Tribolium castaneum: one gene and its partner. The protein of the gene in region 2 binds, or shares a complex with, the protein of the main gene of each other region. Links are inferred from orthologs where the notes say so. Each region holds a gene or a part of one and is shown on either strand. Other genes may lie near its edges.

Evidence for each region.
Region 1: the proteins of Kap3 (region 2) and Klp64D are in contact, whole or in part, in a crystal structure (PDB 9IKB), measured with the Caenorhabditis elegans proteins. The link is inferred for Tribolium castaneum from reciprocal best matches to the Caenorhabditis elegans genes kap-1 and klp-20. Residues at the interface, in NP_001367739.1 of Caenorhabditis elegans: Ile269, Glu272, Leu273, Val276, Arg277, Leu309, Ser310, Ile311, Phe312, Asp313, Glu314, Asn315, Lys316, Asn349, Phe350, Phe352, Asp353, Lys657, Ala660, Gly661, Arg663, Phe664, Lys665, His667, Asn668, Gln670, Trp671, Met674, Val675, Asp679; in NP_497178.1 of Caenorhabditis elegans: Tyr557, Ile558, Pro559, Val560, His562, Leu565, Ile566, Tyr569, Lys582, Ile584, Ala585, Tyr586, Gln607, Met611, Tyr612, Tyr613, Ser614, Tyr615, Arg616, Leu619, Ala621, Ser622, Thr623, Ala624.

The regions. Positions count from the first base shown.
Region 1 is NC_087403.1:3,792,102-3,799,382, forward strand, and holds Klp64D (kinesin-like protein KIF3A), read left to right. Parts: upstream 1-3,038; 5' UTR 3,039-3,155; coding exon 3,156-3,365; intron 3,366-3,410; coding exon 3,411-3,938; intron 3,939-3,984; coding exon 3,985-4,182; intron 4,183-4,769; coding exon 4,770-5,044; intron 5,045-5,089; coding exon 5,090-5,738; 3' UTR 5,739-5,843; downstream 5,844-7,281. Other genes in the region: uncharacterized protein LOC103313049, read right to left, coding at 2,371-2,753, 2,802-2,868; Atg4b (cysteine protease ATG4D), read left to right, coding at 6,089-6,251. UniProt on the Caenorhabditis elegans protein: Component of the kinesin II motor complex (composed of kap-1 and the heterodimeric motor proteins klp-11 and klp-20) which is required for intraflagellar transport (IFT).
Region 2 is NC_087398.1:9,877,569-9,884,676, forward strand, and holds the end of Kap3 (kinesin-associated protein 3), read left to right. Parts: coding exon 1-62; intron 63-2,555; coding exon 2,556-3,240; intron 3,241-3,289; coding exon 3,290-3,384; intron 3,385-3,437; coding exon 3,438-3,656; intron 3,657-3,701; coding exon 3,702-3,896; intron 3,897-3,942; coding exon 3,943-4,408; intron 4,409-4,460; coding exon 4,461-4,536; coding exon of another isoform or gene 4,537-4,540; exon of another isoform or gene 4,541-4,549; intron 4,550-4,595; coding exon 4,596-4,629; 3' UTR 4,630-4,725; downstream 4,726-7,108. Other genes in the region: E3 ubiquitin-protein ligase hyd, read right to left, coding at 5,284-5,496, 5,547-5,925, 5,980-7,100.

The sequences.
Region 1 (7,281 bases), on a different chromosome or scaffold from region 2:
TGGGCTGTGGTCGCCCACGCTCGAGCTTGAGGAGAGAACTTGAAGCAAGACTAGAAAAATCTAGCAGCAATCTGATTTCCGGCGACCGCTTTTAAAGCCGGTCGTGAAAGAAGTCCGATGAGAGCTCGCAGTAGGATGGTACCGATTGTGCTGACCAGTACCGGATTTAGGCTGTGGAAGTTGGGCCTGTACAAGCTGCGGTTTCGCATTCTTCGACGTTACGTCACCTGGAGCCGACTTGTAAACAGTCTTAAGATACCGGTTTTCGCTGCTCTTTTGTTGACGGATTTCTTCATGCGTTGCTGTCCAGCCGGAAACGGAAATAAGGGAATCGATCTCGGGCCGATATTTTTCATACCTGACCTGTGCATGGGCGCATTCCGCACCTGTTGCGTCCGGAAGTTCATATAACTGAAAATGTCGACGATAAACAAGATACGAAATGTCAAATTCTTCCACTGGATGGGATGGTCCCTGACATCTCGCCTCAAACACCGTCAACCACGCACCAAATTTGCGGTTTCACGACAAACACATTTTTCCACCATTAATCAATGAATATGGAACGGTTTGGAGTACTACTACTCATGCTACCAGGAAAAACGCGAAAAAATCACAACAAACAAATCATTGTTTACTAATAATGAGTGGGGAAATTTAAAGTTCATGGAACAAACGCCACACGTGCTAAAAACTAATTTCCTCAATTACTAGCTAATTAATTCCTGGTTTGTTTGCCAACGAAGACATTTTCTGTATTAATTATACTTTTTAAATCACAATTATGAAACTGATAAAACCGAGGCGCAAGAAATAGATAACCGGAGTTCCGGATGATCGAACTTCTGCACCTTTAAAATATTTAGTCAAATAGATGAGTTTTGGTCAAAATCATTGGGATTAAAAGCTACATCCAAAATTTCATATCGTGATAGCACCCAGTAACGATAGAAATAATAATAAAATAATAATAATAATAATAGTAATAATAATAATAATAATAAGAAGAAGAAGAAGAAGAAGAAAAAGGGGTAATAATGAGCAAATTAAGTAATAAACATTAAAATATTATTTGCGGTTCTTTAACACAGAATTTTTTTCATAAATAAATAATAAAAAAATAAAACTCCTTGCTGATTATTAATGTGATTAATACCAATCTAGACATAGTTTTTAAACACTTGCGTATGCGAATACGATAACGTTATCTTCCGCAAAATATTTTTTATTCTGGTATGTAAACACTGTTGTGACACAGTCTCGCAAAATTGAGCCCGGCCCTGTCTCTCATTATTGTGTAGGGTAAATGAGAATAAAGTAGTACAAATTGATTTGTTCTTTTTTGAGCGATTTAATGACTGAGTGCATGTTGTCAGCGGAGTAATGGTAGTGCAAATTCTGCAATGTTTACTTAATGAGCTCCAGAAGAACCCTCTATAATTACTTTTCTATCAGCCAATTAAGACAAGAATTAAAATCATTAAAACGTAACAGTTTTTATTCGTGTCATTTTTTGAACTTCGTGTTTGATTTTACTTGTGCGCGAAGCTCATTATAACCGAGATTAAATTTCATAAACCTGGGGAATGTGGAATATGTCGCTATAAAATTTCAATGCATTGTTGTGAGTGGTTAAATGAAGTGGATCTCCCTTAATCAAGGGTTATTTTGATGTTTATATCCGCGCAATAAATTGATAAAGAAACATAAAACCGAGCAATAAACACAAATTATGTACGGAAAGGAAACCGTAATACAACATATTTTCTTTTTCGAAAACCTCGTACCGGAAATAGTTTATTATGGCGATTATGATATTTGCATAAATATTTGTGGATTGAGAAAAGTGGTTAGGAGCGGCGCCAGACAATCCGAAAATGGGCCCTATCAGGCCAGGCTTGAATATTCGAGTCGTTTTCAACTGAAAGTGCGCCGCTTCCGGAGACTGGGGCCGTTTCAACTTTTCCGAAGAAATTTCGAATTTATTCCGGCGCCGGCCTAAAAACTGCACCCGTATTGTGTGCCACCGATGCTAATTTAATCCCATCAACCTGTTAAACCAGTCTCAAATGAAATTATTTCGAAAATTAGGCATCTAGACCCTCTGTAACAAAAGATTTAATTGGAGAGCTGAAAAAACGACTCCTAAGTCATTTGCTCGATACAAAGCGCGGGTAAATTTCATGTTGTATGACTTCCGTTACCTCGGGCATTTCAAGAAAAACTGGCTCGCATCGTACCACCTGTTCATCAGATACCATCACTTAAATCACACAAAACCCGTTCATCAGTGCCGACAAAATGGCGGCAATCAAACGCGAAATACTGTTCACAATAAATTTATTCTGGTTATAATTCTACATGAAATTTTCAACGACGGCCCGGAGTGTCGTCTCCGTGCAGCCAGTCGTCGTCGGATCCGGCACCGTTGATGTCGCCGTTGGAGCAACTCTCGTCAAATGTGTTCACACACCGTTTTCCCGGGTTGTCGCCGCCGTTCAAAAACGCCTCGTCGGACCCAGCCCCATTTATGACATCGTTGATGCAACTTTCGTCAAATGTATTAGCGCAGCGTTTACTGGCCAGCTGGAGACGGTGGAACAAAGCGCCCCACGACTTGGCCGGGGCACTTCTGTAATTGACCCTCGCAGGGAAGTAGTGCAAGTTCGGGTGCACGTAGTAGCACAAAACTGCCGGCATGAGCACGAAAAGGAGCAAAAAGGCGGTTTTCATTTTGCTGAAACTATACGTTTCTACTTCAATCATAATCATAAATAATAAATAATATATTACTTACTCACCTATATTAGACCGAAAGGCACAGAAAGGACTGATTTTGCACGCATTTGCGCCCTTTTTTATACCCATCCTAATCTCAATATTAATTAAATTATTATTTGAGATTGCCCGGAATTAATGAATAGGGTGATTTGTTTTGCTCCGATTTATCATTATTTAATAATGCCCTTATCACTATCCCAACACCGGGGATTTAATTAGCTCGTTCGAGTGGCTGTTTACTTTTCGGCTGCCCCTTGTAGCTCGCAGCCTAAGACCAATTCAAACTCTGCGCGCTTGTAGCTGTCAGACTGACAGCTGACCCTAACCTAAATTTCCGCAATATTGATTAAATTTCCCGTAAAAAATAATCAAAAATGGCAAATTCGAAGACAGACGTGCAGACTGAGGTGGAAAACGTTCGTGTTTTTGTCCGAGTGCGTCCTTTAACCAAGAAGGAAGAAGCTGAGGGCCACCTAAATGTTCTTTTGATCGACCCTAAGGAGAATTTAATTGCTTTGAATAAAGACGGGGCGAACCCCAAACCGTTTAAGTTCGATCAGGTGTTTGGGGAGGACTCGACGCAGGTTTGTTTAGTTTCAAGTTGAATCAGGGCGAGGTTTTGTTTGCAGTTGTCGTTGTACAGAGTGATAGCTGTGCCAATAGTCGAGAAGGCTCTACAGGGGTACAATGGCACGATTTTTGCGTACGGCCAGACGGGCACCGGGAAGACGTACACCATGTCAGGGAATTACGCCAAGCCGGAACTCAAAGGCATCATCCCCAACACATTCTCGCACATTTTCAGCCAGATTTCGCGGGCCAGCGGCGAGACGTCGTTCGTTGTCACCGTCACCTACCTCGAGATCTACAACGAAGAAGTCAGGGATTTGCTGTCCACAGACCCGAATAAAAAACTGGCGATTCGGGAGAGGCCAGACGTGGGCGTGTATGTCAAGGATCTCATGGGATTCACCGTTGACTCGATTGAGTCAATTACCGAACTCCTCAACAGAGGAAACAAAAACCGCGTCACTCGGTCCACTCTCATGAACGACGTGAGCTCGAGATCGCACGCGATTTTTACCATAACCATCGAGTCGAAAAACAGAAGCAGCAATAAAACCACTGTTGGCAAACTCAATTTGGTTGACTTGGCTGTGAGTCGGTGCCAGTGTGAGGGGCGCTTCTAAGGCCAGTTTTTAGGGCTCCGAGCGGGCAAGCAGGACCCAAGCCACAGGCGAGCGGCTGAGGGAGGCCAGCAATATTAATCTGTCGCTCTCGGTGCTCGGAAATGTCATTTCGGCACTCGTTGACGGCAAAAGCAGCCACATTCCGTACAGAAACTCCAAACTGACGCGGTTACTCCAAGACTCGCTGGGCGGAAACTCCAAAACAGCAATGGTATTTTTAATTAAAGGCCCTGTTATCACGTTAAACCTCATTTAAATAAATTTTGAAAACCGTTTTTCAATATCTGTCTCAGTTACTGAGATAATCGCCAATTTAGTAGCGTTGCGCGCTGGTCGTGACGTCACTCCTTCCTCACTCCGCTCGTATTACAATAGTATTATGGTTTAAATCAGAAATATTTGAGATTAATAAATTATGCAACCTGCATTAAGAATTGAGGCGTGTTTTTTTGCAAACTTCGGTTATCATAGATTCAAAAATAATGTATATTCTTAAAAAAATTAGTAATGCCGATTATTTTTTTATACTTTTAAGGGTTCTAGAATGGTTTTTGAGAAAAAAGGTCGCTTAAAATCGTCAAAATTTGAACTGGGGGCGTTCAGAAGCAAAATGATGAGCATTCCGCCGCGGCTAGGGCAGGTGTGACGTCATCAGCTTTACGAATTTAATTATTTTCGGGCTTATTTATTGCGGTTTTCGCTAAAATTCGTAGAAAAAATGTGGTTTTTATTTTAGAAAACGTTATTTTGACCTAACAGGGCCTTAAATCAGTTGGAATTGTTCAACTGTGATTTTAGATCGCGATGGTGAGTCCGGCGGACATTGACTACGAAGAAAGCATTTGTACGTTAAGATACGCCGCTCGAGTCAAACACATCCAAAACCATGCGCGAATTAACGTCGAACAGCGGGGTCTTATTGAGGGATTCGAGCACGAAATCGCCGAATTGCAGGAAAAAATCCACTTATTGTCACTCCAGGAGCAAAAACAGCCCAAGAAAAAGAAAGAGCGGGCGTCGGCCCACAAAGTTGAGGAACTGAAGAAGTGGGAAGAGGAATTGCAAAAAACTGAGTACGTGTTGTCCCAGTTTTGAAAACCAAATAAAACGGTTTTTAGGAAGGAAAAGAGCGATTTGATGCAGAAAATCTCGCTGATCCAGAAGCGGATCCTCGTCGGCGGTGAGAACCTGTTCGAGAAGGCGCAGCACCAGGCCTTCCTGATCGAGTCGACGGGGGCGGAGATCGAAAACCTGGACAAGAACCACCAACAGCTGGAGGAGACGCTGAGCAAGAAGGGGCAGGAGCGCATCGACGTGGAGGAGAAGTACTCGAGTCTCCAGGAGGAGGACGCCGGGACGGGCAAAAAGATCAAAAAAGTCCAGGCGTATCTGAACGAAGTCAAGGAGGAGTACGCCGACAAGGAGCACGAGTACCAGCGCGAAATGGAGGCGCTGCTGGACAACAACCGGCTCCTGGTCCGGGAAACCCAGCTGGCGTGCCTGATGATCGACAGCTACATCCCGAAGGAATACTTGAAGAAAATCGAGGCCAATTTGATATGGAACTCGGAGACGCAGGAATACCAGATGCGCGGGGTGGCCTACACGGGGAACAACATGCGGAAGCGGCAGTCGGCCCACTCGGAGTGCTTCACGCCGGTGAAGTTCGAGATGAAGCCGGTGTACCACAAGTACCCGGAGAAGAAGCGCGAGCGCAAGATGGTGTACGAGAAGCGGTCGTTCTCCGCGGTGCCCAAAGCCCGCTAACTGTCGCCGGATTATTTGTGTTGTGTTAATTTGTGATATTAATTAGGCCCGACTTTTTATTTATTTGTGATTATGTTGTACTTAATAAATCTATTTATTGCCCAATGGTGTGTTATTTGCGACGGGAGTGGGGCGGTTTGAATTTGCGCGGCGGGTTTGATTGATGCGATTGGACGGCAGACTTGGAGGCGTCCCATTGTCACTTTGTTGATGGCGAGCCGTGGTGTTGTTTCACAAATAAATAAACCACAACAAAATGTAAATCGGAAGTTTCGAGCGAATACGTCGGTGGCAAGTGAACTGTGGAATTTGCGTTAATCAAGATATTGTTGATTCTTATCATTGATAAAATGAACACACAGGTGGTATCAAGAGAGCGATCAATTTTTTTGTCCAAACTTAGCTTCCCAACAAGTTCTTCTGACAGTCGTTTGCAGGATGAAGGGAACAATTCGGACGTCGAAGGCAAAGTCAAAAACAGACTCCTCTCAATGTGGAATAACGTGAAATATGGTGAGCCACTCTAACCTAACTTATTCATCGCCGAACTATGTGCAAACAAAGGCATTTCTTGCCCTGATAGCGGGTGATTCACTTATTTCATAAATCAAACGCTATATTTAGTGCAAGTCTGCTGAAACCACCGACACAGCGATTTCAGCGAACCGGAAGTCTTGCCAACAAAAAATTCCGTTACAAAACCAATCATGTGATAAATGTTGTAAATCACTCAAAATATTGTGAAAACCACAAATCCTTGATGATCCCCTTCATTATTATTAGTATCACCTTCAAATTGCGTACACAAGCAGGGCCGGACTACTCCCTTTTGAAACCCAACGTACTAATTTATAACTCTACTAGAGCTATTTTTGCTATTCTGAGTTGAGCTATTTTGAGCTGGGTCGAAAATGGTGTCATTTAGCACTGAAACACTTCAAAACCCTTTTTTTGGCACTAATAAATTTGCCAAAAATTATATTATTTCTCCTTATTTTCAGCCAACACATCAAAACGCAATTATTTTGCCAGATTTAAATAAAAATATGCCAAAAATTTCAGTATTTTTGCTTTTTTTAACCGCTGTTTAACTAGAAACGCGACTATTTTGAGGAATTTTGTTCAAAATAAGCTTAGAAGTCAGGCAGAACCGAGATAAAAACACGTCATATGGTAAAAATAAATTTTCCTGACGAGTTGAACACAAAATTTAGCAAAATTCAGTGAAAAATTTCACATTTTCAATATTAATAATTAATTTAAGTGTGGAAAATACCAAGTTTTTCTGGTTCAGTTAAGAAAATTTGTTATTTCCATGCTCAAATAAATATTGAAAAGTTACAGAATTTTTCCTCGAATTTTACAAAATGTTTTGTTATCTCAAGCGTTTTATTGTGTTTTACAGAAACGCAATTATTTTGCAAAATATCTCAAAAACAGCAACAAAAATCACTAAGTTGGATCGAAAAGCAAAGTATTTTAATATTTTGGATATTTTAGCGTATTTTTATTCGAAAACGCAGTTGTTTAGTGTTTTACAAAA
Region 2 (7,108 bases):
TGTTTACCTTTTTCTGTTTTTCCATGTACTCACGTTTTCACGAGGTTATACTCAAGTGTAAGGTGAGCAAAGTCGTAAATCTCGAAATTTCGCGCAAATAGATTTTGATGTCAATTAGTTGATTAAATGTTTAAACAGGTGGGTAAATTATGCAACAATAGAAAGTTGCGTCTTTATTTGGCCTTGATTTATTTTTTTAAATACTACAATTAGGAGAATGTTGCGGATGTATGTCCATATATTCAACATATGTACTTTTGACCATTTGCAGAACTCGCTCCCTTAAACCTACTTTTGGAACTTAACGTACTAATTTACATGTTCTGGGGTTATTTTTTGCAAAGCATTTTGCGTCAAAATTGTCCAAAAAATCGTCGAATTAGGCGAAAATAGTTATATTTTAGCCTTCTCGATTTCTTTAACTCATCAAAATTCAGTTTTTTGGACAAATTTTCTTATAACAAAGTACGGTACAGTGTTTTCTCCTTTTTTTTTAAAGGTTTGGGCATGTTATCAGTCAGAAATGAGATATGCAACTTATATTTTTTCTAAATGAATCAATAATATATTTTTTTGGGGCGTTCAAGCGGATTTTGTTAAAGTGAAACGAAAAGTTGCTGAGTTAAGTAAAAAAAATTAATATTTTTTTCTTTTTTTCGACCTTTTCAACAGGTTGTTTCCCCAAAAACGTCATTATTTTGAAGAATTTTGCCCAAATTTGTGTCCAAAATAAGCCGCAAAGTCAAAATGATATTTAGTTTTGCTTCTAGGGAGGTTTTGGTTTTCAGAGTTTTTTCGTTTTTCGGAATCATTTCGCAAAATTTCTCAAAGATTAGCCGAAAAATCACTAATAGTATCGAAAAGGATATTATTTTGCCTTTTCGGGTATTTTCGCTAATAAAATTATTAGCGAATTATTTAATTAAATTAAATTATTATTATTATCTCAAAAAATTGCGCAATTTTTATTTACATATTTCAAGCGCTGAAGCATATTATTCAGATAATTTTTAAATTTTTGCTAAACTGGTTTAAAAAAACAATAAACTGGATCGAAAATGAAATAGTTTCACTATTTTTGCATTGTACAGGGTGCCCAAAAATCGACGCACCAACTCAGTGGTACGTTTTTGAGAAGCATGTGTAGATTACCGAAATTATTAAAAAAAAAATCATATTTTAAAAAATCTGGGACTACAAATTTTTTTTCTGTAGTTTTCGCTATTTATTTTTAATGATTGTATGTTACCAGTATCAGGTTTTTGAATTAAAAAAATAAATAAATAAATAAATAAAATTCAGCAAAAAAAAATTTGTGAATATGCAAGATTGGGAATTATTTCCTAGTGACCGTTTCAAAATTTCGCCAATAATTAATCCAAAAATGATATGTAATTAATTTAAAAATACAATTTTTTTTTTGCTGAAATCGTAATTATTTGACAAAATTTTGATAATAAAATAGACCGAAAATTTACTGAATTGGGCCGAAAATGTTAGATTTGATTTTTATGAGCAAACATGTACATTTTTCAATCAACCAATTGATTATTTTACGAAATTTGCGCAAAAAGTATTAAAAATAGGAGTTGTAAATTGAAAATTTAAATAAAAAGTCTGTTTTTTCGCGAGATATTCTTAACTCAGTAAAATAAATTAGTTAATAAGGTCAAAAGTTTTCAAGAGGTCAAGAGTTTTTTTCAGCTTTTTAGCACGTTGTCGAGCCAGAAAGGCAATTATTTTGGGAACTATTTGAATTTATTATTTTTTTATTAATTATTAATATTATTTATTATTCTCTTCACTGATGATCAGTGATCAGTAATCACCTGAGGCAACAGTATTTGTATCTATTTTATCGGTCACATCTATCTTGATAATAAATAACAGCTTTATTTATGTGCCGCTTAGGAAATATGATGTTTAAACAATAATTGTTTACTGCATAACACAATTTTTGTAAAGATATTACTTCGTAGAAATGAATACAAATTTTGTCCCATTTTTTAATTATGTGTATTGAAAATTTCAAACAACTCACTTAAATTGTGCTTCGTGACATGATATCCAAACATTTTAGTAATAGACTTTACGACTCTACTTAAAAATATGTCACTATCACATCACTAGTAAAATATTCTTATACTCACTGTTTAGAAATGATTTCAACAATTATTAAACGTTCGTGCTGAAGCCAGACTTAGACTAACTTATTCTCGTATCATTTTCCTCAAAATCGGTCTAATCTAATAAAACAAAAAACATTTCGTAACAGTTTTTTTTGCTCAGGGATGCGTATTCCCAACGCAACATCATAACAATTATTCGAATTAAATAAAGCAAACCCCAAACCAAATTTCTGCGCCCTTTACTTTAACAAGGATAATTACCCAAACGTCCGTTCAACTCCGAAGCTTTATTACAACGCAATTATTCCCAGTTTCAAAAAACTCTCAAACACAATTCCAAGGGCCAAAGTATGGCCCGTTTAAAAATTAATTTTATTAGCTTTGATTGGTCGCTGAATAATGTTTGCTCATGGGCACCACATTTAGGTGGGTTCGATCTGTATGGACATAATCGATTACGAGTTGCGAAGATACGACAAGTGGAAGGCGGATTTGGAGGGCGTTGAGGCCCCGGACGACATCCCCATCGTCCGCAAGCCATGTCCGAGTAGCGCTAGCCTCTCCGAAATCCCCCGGAGTCGCATTCCGGAGCCGGTTAGGCCCCGATCCGGGAACTTCTCCGAGGCGAATATTAAAGCCGTGATGGAAGGCAGCGTTTACGACGATTTGACGACTTCCACGGAAAGTATCGACGATAAAAAACTGAGCGAAGCGGAAAAGGCGAAACGTTTCCGCACTTTGGTGAAAAAACAAGAACATCTGCTCCGTGTCGCGTTTTATCTCTTGCTGAATATCGCCGAAGACGAAAGTATTGAAGAGAAAATGACGAAGAGGAACATCGTGGGGTTGTTGGTCAAGGCTCTGGAGAGGGACAACGAGGAATTGTTGGTTCTGGTGGTGACGTTCCTGAAGAAGTTGTCCATTATGCAGTGTAATAAGGACGCTATGGCCGGGATGAATGTCGTGGAGAAGTTGCCGAAATTGCTGGAGTCCAACAGTCCCGACTTGGTGCATTTGACGTTGAAATTGTTGTTTAATTTGTCGTTTGATACAAAATTGAGGTTTAGAATCGTCCAAATTGGACTTCTACCGAAATTTATCAGTTTATTAAGTGAGTTGAGTAAAAGCAGTCGGCGTGTAATTCACTGGCGTATTTTAAGGCGATGATCGTCATCAGGAGATTGTTTTAAAATTACTCTACCATTTGAGTTACGACGATGACGTCAAAACGCAATTTGCCGAATGTGTGGGTTTGGTAAAAACGTTACGTTAAAAATAATCGCTTTTTGCACAATTCAATTTTTTAAGATAACGGACATGTTATTACTTAATATTGGAAACGAAGGTGACGAAGTTATGGTCGCACTTTGTATCAATTTGGCCACGGACCCGACAAACGCCCAACAAATGATGAAAAAAAATCGCGTCCAATCGTTAATGATGAGGGCTTTCAATTATCAAGATAACATGTTGATGAAAATGTTGAGGAATTTGTCAGAGCATAAATCATCCAAAGTTAATTTCGTCGTACGTGCACCTTTTAAAAATCCACGATTTAAGTAAATTTTTTAGGAGTTTGTAGGCGACATTGCAAAGGCCGTAGTCGAGTCAAAGGAAGACGATTTCGTAGTCGAATGTGTCGGAATTTTAAGCAACCTCAGTTTACCCGAGCTGGACTGGGCGGAAATTTTCAAACACTTCGATATGTTAAAATGGATCGAAAAAGTGATTCGTAACAATAACACCGACCCCGAGTTGGTTTTACAAGTAATAATGACAAAATTGCAAATTATTTAATAATTTTTTTGTGTAGGTTGTAGTTTTATTAGGCACGGCTGCAGCCGACGAAGGTTGTGCCAAGCTCTTGTGCGAATCGAACATAATCTCGGCTTTGATCGAACTCTTGAAGACGCACCAGGAAGACGACGAAATCGTCCTTCAAATAATTTTCGTTTTTTTCGCGACCATTTCTCACGGGACGAATATTGATTATCTGGCGGAGAAAACCGAAGCTCCGGCCTATTTGATCGATTTACTCCAAGACAATAACAAGTCCATTAGGAAATTGTGCAATACGTGTCTTAATATAATAGCCGAGCATAGTAAAACTTGGGCGGAAAGGATCAAAATTGAAAAATTCAGGCATCATAACGCGCAGTGGTTACAAATGGTCGATTCGCAGCAGTTGGGTCCCGAGGACGAGGACGACGAAGAGGATGCCTTGCCACCGTATCTGAATACGGAGTTTCTGGGAACGGCAGTGGTCCCGCCTTTGTCAGGTCGGTGCCAGTTTTGGGTGATTGAAGTAAATGTTTTATTTTCGATTTTTAGATTTGAATGAACATGCACAAGAATCGGAATTTATCTCACAAAAAGACATAGACTTTGACTATTTTGATAGACCAGAGTAAGTTTGTTTGGTAAGAATGTCAGTGAGTGGGTTTCCTGATGTTAATTTATTTGCAGGGTCATTCCGGACTTTGAAATTGAAGCCATTTAATTTTTTGCTTGAGCACAAGTGATATTCAGCTTTCTAGTCATACATTTTCTTGTTAATTTTTATGTAATTGATAATAAACATTTACTTGTACTTCCAGCAGAGGCGTTACTTATGTTTTTTGTGATAGTTGTTTTGAATAAAACCACGTTCGTATACATAACTGCTTTTATTTCGATACTAATACAGAAGCCATCTGAAATTATGAAATTAAAAAAACGTAAGGACGAGACACTTTATTAATAAAACATAACTAAGTTTACGGAACCAAAAAAATGATATAAATAAGAAAATTCTTAAAACTATTATCTACAATAATACTAATAACATGAATGCACCTGAACAGGGTTGGCACAACAAATAAAGGGTGCAAAAAGTTAAAAGTAACCCATACAAGCAAGAAGACTAGTGATTTACCGAAAGAAAAGAGAAATCTTTGAGCTTGAAAAAAGTGTGAATTGTTTTTAGACATACGCATAGGTCGTGTCCATGATTTGAAACATGAAAATGAGATTATATACAAGATTATCACTTTAGCTTAGTCGAAATAAATTATAAATCATCACAATATTCATGACAAAATTATAAACAACTTATAAAAACAATTTTATTAAACTGAAATTCGTACTAAAATTAAACGAAACAATCAACCCATGATCACACGAAACCGAAATTCTTTGTTTTGATGGCAAGTAATAATTTCTGTCTAAGAACTGCGCGACTACTATAAAGTGGAATATATAAACGTGATATACAAGTGTTTGCTGTTGGTAAATGTGCGTCGTCGGCTGGTCTTATCGTCACCGAAGGCATCGGCTGAAAGCCGTCCTCGCTTGCCGGAAGTGCCGGAGAACCCGTCCAGAAATAAACCTAAACGCAAGAGTCAACTCAACCGACCGCAGACTAAACAACAAACTTACCAAGTCCTGCCTTTCCAGATGCGTCATCTTTTCAACAATTGACCACAGCCACCGCTTGAACTTGACTAAACGTTCGCTGTTCTCACCGGACTCGTCATTGAACGACGTATACGATATTAAAACTGCCACATTGATATCTCCCACACCGTTCAACAAAAGCCGAAGATCTTCGGCCGTTAAACTGTCCAAGGAGCCTTCAGGCAACACATCGAGGACGCCAGTTCGGATGCTCTCGATCGCTTTTTCTTGCACTTTAATCATCCGATACTTGGCGTACTTCCGAACGTAGTCGTAGACGTTGCTCGACGTCACTTCAATATCTTTACCACCCGGCATCAGTTCGACTGTACCGCCACCTTCCTCCGGACTTAAATCAATTCTAAAACCAACCATAATAATAAAATAATACAACACCCAATAATTTTTAACTTACGTGAAATTGAGCTCAAGCGTTGAGAACAAATTATTACAATCTTTCGTTTCGGCGTCCACCACCAACTGCCTCAACGACTCGTAGACAATCGGGTCGAAAAACGCAAAATCATGGAACTTGATGGGTCTCGCTAAAATTGATTTTAAAACGTGTCTCGTCAAGAAAATCGGACAAAGTTCGTTCTGTAGTAGACACAATCCGATCAATCTCCCTACGTTTCTAAACGCATTCAATCGTTCAAACGTCGCTTTCCCCTGTCTGGGAGCGTAAAACCCTCTCTTTCCCGGACAGTAAAACAGCGGTGCATTATCCTCCTCATCTTGAACGTTCTCCTCCACCACCGAATTATCATTTCCTCCGCTCGAACGCCCCGATCCTTTCCGCGAGCTCGAACTCCGATCAGTCAACGTAAAAACATCCAATTCGAGCAGCGCTTCCGACGTCAATTCTTGCTGGGAATGTAAGTGTGCTAGAATCATTTCGACCGCCTCTTCAACTTTGGCCCTCAGCGAGTCTTCGGACGCTAAAAGAAGCAACAATTGAGCTGGTGATAACTCCAGAAGCATTCCGGTGATTCTTCCGGCGAAATTCGGATGCAAATTGTACACTTTGGGATATAGACGGTCACCTAGTTGTTGTTGGTGCGCGGAGAGTTGTTCGTTACGATTTTGATTTCCCGTGGGATTCCCCCCTGATGTCGACAGATCAGGCATTGACGGCGCATCCGAATGGAAATTATCGCTCGGAACGAACGGTCTCGCATCGACATTCATCGTTCGACGGTGTTCACGCGACCGATTTGAACCTCTCATTGGCACGGTTCGGCGCAACACGTCTCGGTCGCGCCGCAGTCGCTGCAAAACGCTGTATTGGGTGTACTTATTATCGACTTGAGCCGACTCCAAATTCGGGAGCTTCTCATTGGATAAAATCGCTTCGGCTATCGCCGTATAAAAGCTACGAGCGACGCCCGATCCTTCACCAGGTTCGTCCTTGAACGTCACTTTCACTCGATTCACCGCCAGAGGGGGCGACGATGAATTGCGGCGGTTGTAGTTGTTGTACTGAGTGTTCAATTCTTTGAATGTCATCAGGAGAAGTTGAGTGCGATCTCTTTCCATCTACAGAC